2 linked regions of the Tamandua tetradactyla genome follow. The protein of the gene in region 1 interacts with the protein of each later gene in a pairwise test. Links are inferred from orthologs where the notes say so. Each region holds a gene or a part of one and is shown in the gene's direction. Other genes may lie near its edges.

Evidence for each region.
Region 2: the proteins of RABL6 (region 1) and SPINK7 interact in binary tests that used the Homo sapiens proteins (3 or more experiments, as listed by UniProt). The link is inferred for Tamandua tetradactyla from reciprocal best matches to the Homo sapiens genes RABL6 and SPINK7.

The regions. Positions count from the first base shown.
Region 1 is NC_135328.1:131,291,779-131,295,529, reverse strand, and holds the start of RABL6 (rab-like protein 6), read left to right. Parts: upstream 1-1,337; 5' UTR 1,338-1,407; coding exon 1,408-1,537; intron 1,538-3,751. Other genes in the region: CCDC183 (coiled-coil domain-containing protein 183), read left to right, coding at 1-153, 227-337, 423-519, 625-743. UniProt on the Homo sapiens protein: May enhance cellular proliferation. May reduce growth inhibitory activity of CDKN2A.
Region 2 is NC_135346.1:29,147,806-29,151,556, forward strand, and holds the start of SPINK7 (serine protease inhibitor Kazal-type 7), read left to right. Parts: upstream 1-1,304; 5' UTR 1,305-1,332; coding exon 1,333-1,456; intron 1,457-2,334; coding exon 2,335-2,360; intron 2,361-3,025; coding exon 3,026-3,150; intron 3,151-3,751. UniProt on the Homo sapiens protein: Probable serine protease inhibitor.

The DNA.
Region 1 (3,751 bases):
AAGAAAATGAAGGACCTGCTGAAAGAGGAAGAAAAAAGACTCCAGCTGGCCTACAGCAACATGACCAAGAGCCAGCAGCTGCTGCTGACCATCCAGACGGGCATTGACAACCTCTACATCCGTCTGATCGGCATCTCGGGGCCCACGACCCAGGTGTGGCCCAAGTCCTCCCCGGGGTAGGATGGGGCCGGCAGAGGGGAGATCCCACGGATTTCTCTGCCCACAGAAAGAAGCGGCGCCCACCGGCACCCTCGATGTGTACAGCAAACTGGCCTACTGCGAGGAGAAGCTCACGTACCTGATCGACAGGGTGCAGACACTGTCCAGGACCGAGGAGGTAGCCGCGGGTGGGAGGCGCCCGGCACGCGGGTCCCGCGCCGCCGGCCAGCTCTTGCAAAGCTGAAGGGTGTTCTGGCCTACAGATCAGCACGAAGGTGAGGGACATCCTGGAGTCGTCCACTCTGAAGGAGAAGTACAACACCAGGATCAGCTTTGAGGACCTGGAGGAGGATATGATAGGTACCGCCGGGTTCTGGCGGTGGCCCACGCCCTGTGCGGCCGCGGCGGGGGGCGGGCGGGTCCGTGGGCTTAGGGCGGGGCTGCAGGACACCGCCCCTCCTGCAGAAACCTTCCAGTTCGCCGACGTGGACCTCAGCTACGTGCCTTCGCGGGCAGAGATCAAGAGGCAGGGCCAGCGGCTAATAGAAGGGAAGCTCAAGGGGGCCAAGAAGAAGAAGAAGTAGCCCCGTCCTGCCACCCCTTCGCCAGCTCTTTGTTACACAAATAAACATTTTTCCAGGACTGGAGGAGAGTCACTGGGGGTGAGACCGGAGTCTCGGAGAAAATGAACAGGCAAAGAGTGGGATCTTGGGGGTATCGTTGGGAAGACCTGCAGACGAGAGGGCTGTCCGGCGTAAATCTGGGCTTCTGGCCCTGAGCTGGGGGGTCGGAGGGGAGGTGCGGTCGGGGTCCACGTGGTTTGGAAGCCCTGGGGGTAGACGATCGGCTGCGAGAGACCAGGTGCTCTCGGGAAGCCCGCCGTCCCGGGCCGGCCCTGCGCATGCGCGCGCCTCACGCCCGTGTCCCTCGCGGCGCCCCGTAACCGCCGCGTTCTCGCTTCCCACCAAGATGGCGCCGCTGGCAGACGGAGGGCGGCCGTGCTGGAGGCCGCTGGGGCCGGATCGGAGCCGCCGCGCCTGAGGCCACGGAGCGGCCGAGCGAGGCAGGCGCCGTCCCTGGCGCCCTCGCCGCCCTTGGCCGCCGGGACCCCGGCTCCGGCCTTGGGGGAGACCCGCGCCCGGCCCACGGGCCGCGGGACATGGTGCGCGCCCCGCCGCCCCGCCGTCGCCGCCGCCGCCGCCGCTGAGCTCTCCGGCCGAGGCCCGGCTCGGACTTCCCAGCGGGAAGATGTTTTCCGCCCTGAAGAAGCTGGTGGGGTCGGAGCAGGCTCCGGTCCGAGACAAAAACATCCCCGCCGGGCTGCAGTCCATGAACCAGGCACTGCAGCGGCGCTTCGCCAAGGGGGTGCAGTACAACAGTGAGTGCGGGGCCCGGGTCCTGACCCCCCACCCGTGCCCGGCCGGCTCCGGCTGCCCACGGCGCCCAAGGCGAGCTTTCAGAAAACGGCGGCGGTGTCGGAGGGGCAGGGTGAGCACACGGCAGCTGCCCCGGCGTGAGCCGTTGAAGCTTCCCGACAGCCGGCCTTCTGACCCATCTGCTTTGTAGGTGCCGTTTTGCAGGTGCCCGAGGAGCGCTCAAAAGTTATCAAAATATATGCATATATACATATATAATCGTAGCAAGTGTTGTTGAGCGAAGGAGTTGCGCTGTGTCCCGTGAAGCCAGCAGGAAGAGCCAGGAATCGCGGTGACTTACACTTTGCGGAAAACGTGGAAGGAAGTATAGGGACGCTGTCGTTCATGCCCCGCGAGGGCAGGTAATGGAGGAGGCTGGATGGTGCCGGGGCGATTTGCAGCGAGATTGTTGGCCACTCTTGTTTGTTTTGAAGGTTTACTGATCTTTTACCTGTGCTAGGTAACTTTCTAAGTGCGCTTCAGGAATGAACTCGTATCTTAGGGACGGCAAGTGGGACCACGCCGGAAACGGGAGTCCTAGAGGACCGAGGGACCCAGCAGGGTAGGCGACTCTCTTTTCCCAGCACACTTCTCTGAAGTGTGGGTCTTTCCTGAGAAATGCTTGCGTGGTAGGAAATCTGGTTTAGTTTTAAACAGTAAAATTCGTTGAAGGAGGTTTCAGTAACGGCGGAAGCTGCCTGGTGGTGATTCTATGGGGGCCTGGCTACCCTAAGAGGGATTACTACTTAATGCAAGAGAATAGCTCTACAGTCGGTGACACTTGGCGGTCTCTCTACTGATAAGGTAACGGAGTTCTCAGTCAGTGAACCGCGTGATAATCTGGAAGGTATGCTCTGAAGACCCGCTGACTGTGGAATTTGAGCTATGGGATGTTTCTTTGTTGACTTCGTATTCAATTTGAAGACAGATTATCAGCTACGCCACACGTTTTAGCCCTTTTTAAAAGAAGCATTTGTAAGAATATATTTAGAAAAGCTCCAGAAGGCGTAGAGACTTGTTATTATAGGAGACATCTCTTCCCCTTTGTGGAAGAGGAGTTTACAGCTGCACTGAGGAGGAGGTTGTTTCCATCTCTCTGTTATAAATTATGTAAATCGCATAGCTCCCAGACACGACCCTTCCTTTGACCTCTCGAGTTTTTCCATTTGGCTTGCCCTTCTGTAGCAGGATTAAAGGCTTTTATGCTGTTCTCTGCTTTGAAAACGTTTCCCACTCAAGTATTTTTCTTATGTTGGTACGTGATTTTAGACTTTTCCCTATTTGCTCACTTTAAGGGGAGTATTCTAGTTTCCACAATGATGTATTTTAGTGATAATGTAGGATATTTAGAAACTGATTAGAAAGGCTTTCATCCAGATTTAATAGGGCTTCTTTTAGCTGTGTTGTACAGTGTTTAGTATAGATTTCTAAGTCGAAGTGCTCTTTTACACAAATCTTTGGAATCCACGTTGGTTCCCTTATTTAATTTTATTCCTTTTAGTGTAACTTTAAATCTCAGTCTTAGAAACTGGACCTCACCTTCAGGGGAGTACTCCAGGGTGGTTATAACCACTGGCCTTGGGTGGGCTGGGGCCAAAAAGGGCAGTGGTATCCCAGAAGAAAGGGCCAGATCCTGAGTGGTTGGGGATGGGTTATGATCTCCTAGTACCGAATGAAAGGTGGTGATTGGGAGAAATTTGGACTTGTACCTGTTCTGGTTTGCTAGCTGCTGGGATGTGATATACCAGAAGCAGAACGACTTTTAAAATGGGAATTTATTACATTGCAAGTTTACAGTTCTAAAGCTGTGAAAAGGTCCAAATTAAAGCAAGGATATAGAAATGTCCAATCTAAGGTATCCAGGTAAAGGTACCTTGGTTCATGAAGGCCGAAGATGTTCAGGGTTTCTCTGTAAACTGGAAAAGCACATGGTAAACATGGCTTCCTCTGCTAGCTTTCTCTCCAGGCTTCTTGTTTCATGAAGCTCCCCCAGGGACATTTTCCTTCATCTCCAAAGGTCTCTGGCTACCTGGGCTCTTGTGGTTCTGTGGCTCTCTGGCTCTCTGGCTCTCTGGCTCTCTCTCCAAAGTGTTTCCTGTTTTAAAGGATTCCAGCAAGCTAATCAAGACCCACCTGGAATGGGTGGGGTCACATCTCCATGGGAACAATCCAAAAGC
Region 2 (3,751 bases), on another chromosome or scaffold:
TGAAAAGTAAAGACGTGTTAAAACGCAAACAAACAAACAAACAAACAAAAAACGGTGGAGCTGTGTCAAAGGGACACAGAAACAAACTGAAAAAGCTCCAATGGCCAAAGCTGGAACAATTTGAGCAACAAAATAAATAACATAGTATTCAATTATAACCCTAAACAAATAAAGTCCATGAGTCCGTACTGACATGAATGAATGAATAAACAGTTGAGGGAGAAGAGACAAATCTCCCCTGGGCAGAATAATTTCAAACAATTTACATAGATACTTCACCCTCAGAGTTGGAGCATAAAAACTCCCCAGTCCTTATGTAGGGGCTATGCAAAGTGACTTCCTCTCAAAGAACACAGAATGTAAAGGGGGGTGGGGAGAAAAGAAATCAACTTTAAAGTGGGGAAACCTAATAAACACTACCTCAGGCAAGTAATCAAGGTTAACATAAACAGTGACAGGTCAGTGCAACCAGCCAGCAAATGGTTCACTGATTTCCTCTGTACTTGTCTAAACATCTATCAACTAATATCCTTTCCTTGAAATCAGATGTTATAAAAACATACTTTCCTTGTATACAACCCTGATTGATGGCTGTTGACTGCTTGTGTTCAGAAGGGTTCTAATTCTTATTTTGGGCTCAGTGTAAAAAGACTATGGTTGACCAGTTTGCTAGCTACATAGTATGAGATTTTTGCCTGAATGGAGAATCTTTCCATGGTGAGCATGGAAACAGGAAACTGAAGAGAAATTTTGGAGTCCAATTATGAAGGTGCTTGGACAAAGGATACAGAGGCTGAAAAAGGATACAGAGGCTGAACTTCGTATGTCTTTTCATTACGATTCACCAGAAGGCCTCAAAGATGATAAACTAGGGTAGGGATTGCACCTGAGATGTCAGAGTCTCTCCACTAGAACCTGGCTTGTTTCATAGGTTCATTGTCTCAAAAAATAAAACAACACTTTCCTAGGAGGCAAGATATAAGCATAGGTACAATCTGTCTAATCTGGGTTTAATATCCCCCATTTGGGGGGAATAAAAGAAATGTTAACTTTTCTCTTATTTTGTAACTAAACCAAAAAGCTCTTTTACTCTATGAAGTTTAGAATTCTAAGTAACAGTTGCCAGGCACTATGTGGCAGGCAGAAAAATGCTTCTCACCTCAAATCAATTTAGTCAGATAGGAAGTAGCACTTAAGTAACGAGGACTCTAATGCCACCCAGGGTGCGACGTCTGCTTAGAAAGCCTCTTAGGGACAATCGTGACTTTGGATGATCTCACAGGAAAGGCGGAGAAGCTATGTCGGCTTATATACGTGACGCCTCTCCTGGGCATGGCTGATACCGTGCTGGTGGTGACAGCCCCCGAGCAGTCTCTACATCACAGGGCCTCCACAATGAAGATCGTCCGAGGTCTCCTTCTGCTCTGTACAGTGGCCCATTTCTGCAGCAGGACGGGTGAGTGAGGGGTGGACAGTGCTCCACACAGCCACTCAGCTTGTTTTCCTGGATAGGAGCATCTGAGAGAAATGTGTGGTTGTACGGATTTAAAGTGTACCGCTTTGTACTAGAAAGGCATATGTATGGAAAGGGAGAAGCTTAGGCCCCAGCTGGAGATTGGAGGAATTGGGGCTAACGTCTTTCCCTTTCGAGGATTCTGATCTCCATCCATGGAGCAAAAAGTTGAACTCCTTTCTCCATAATTCTATCAGCCATGATGACACTGGAAATGAAAAGTGTTATTAATACTATTCTTCAGGGAAATGATGCAGAACTTGGATGATTTCCTAGATCAATCTAGGAGGCTCAAAATAAAACAAAATTCTCCATAAGCTAGGGATCCACCATTAAACTTTTATATGGTACAAAATTAATTAAAATAAAAATCTAGCACCTTAAAGGCATTTAATTACCTTCTTTAATCTCAATTAGGAGGGAGTGCATATTAAAGATGGTGTTTCTCAGGCTCTAAGAAGTGATGACTGCAATCAGTGCTACTTATACTATTGTTACTTGAGTTTGGGCCATTATCCAAAATACTATGAGTTACTGAAGACCTCCGGTGGCCAATCAAAGGAGGAAATATGGATAACTCCTTTGCCTGAACCAAGGATTTACCTGTCACTTGGCCCACTGGCCATTCAACTCCTCAGCAAATAGCTGAATAGCTGGAACTTTGTATAAGAAGGGGGTATAAGCCAAGACTCATTGCCAGAGGAAATGCAAAATAGTTAACCTATAGGACCTATCACACTTATAGGACAAAATTATATTAACTAATTAGATTTCAAGGCTTTACTTTCTTTTTAACATTTCTATATGCATTTGTCTTTCAGAAGCTGCCAGTCTGTCTTTAACAAGGGTGAGTACAGTACATACATTGAGTAACATTTTAATTTCAATCGCAATGTGTTTAGGGAGACATTAGCAAAAGACAGACACAGATGAAAAACGTGCTCTGCTCTCTAAATAGTAATTGCAAAAACATGACTTACATATAAGTAATAATATACTCATGGTTAACCTATTCTGGTGTTAAAGGAGAGAGAGATGACTGCCAGCTGAGAGGCTGGTGAAGTCTTCATGGAAGGTACAACATGCGAGAGGCTGGTCAGCGTTGCCTTGGTTAATTGAACAAGCTCTGTATTCAATTCCCAACTCTACTATTTACTTGCACTTATCTTACTCAAGTTTTCTATTTCAAAGCTTTAATTCCCCTCTCTCTAAATAAGTATACTACTAGAGTCTACCCTATACAGTTGTGGAAACTTAAAAAAGAAATGTCAGATCAGATACAGATTTACTGCCTGGCACAGAAATGCTCAGCAACTGCTAACTGAATGTAGTAATAATAAACAAAGTGATGGTAGTAATGCTATCATTTGTCATCGTGGTGCAGAGACAAGCAATAGCATCAGAATATTTGAGCTGGGACTTCCAGGATGGTATTCTTGCTGCCTGTCCAATAGAGTGTATCCTAGCTTGGGGCTGGGAGAAAAACAGGTCCTTCTTATATGTCTGTCACAGGTGAACTGCAGCATTTATGAGAAGTACCCAGTGGTGGCCATCCCCTGCCCCATCACATACCTGCCTGTTTGTGGCTCTAACTACATCACCTATGGGAATGAATGTCTCCTGTGTGCTGCGAGCTTGTGAGTACCTCAGAGGAAGCAAAGGACGTTGGGTCCAGTGCCCTCCATTTAAAACCCCACCTCGTCCCAGGAGCCTACTTAACTCTATATAAGCTGTACTAAGTCCCATCCAGAAACAGCTGGTGGGGATTAAAAATTGATTGCTTCATAGTCAGGTCAGGGTGGAGTCATCTATCTCCTCTGCTTGGGTGGGTCCCATCCTGTCTGTCAATTGAGGGAATCTAACAAGACCATGAGTTTTCAAACTGATATCACTATAATTCAGAGGTTTTGTAGAGGCATGTTCAAGAGATGGAGTTAAAGAAGCTAAGGGGGAACCTGTGGGGAGGGGGCCCTACTTCATCTTTCGACTGCTTTAAGTAGTGGAGCCCCCCACAATATCTGGTTTGAAGAAAAAAGGGGCAGGGGCGGAATTCCCCTAACTTTGCATCAAAAAAAAATTTAAATTATCACATATGACTTTATACTATACTTAACAGCCTTAATATAGTTTGATTCTTAGACAAACTGTGGCTAATGGTCCTTTCTTTCCCATTTCCTAGAGATTCTAAACATCTGTAGCTCTCAGAGAGGTGAGACTACCACAAAGAATATTTTTCTT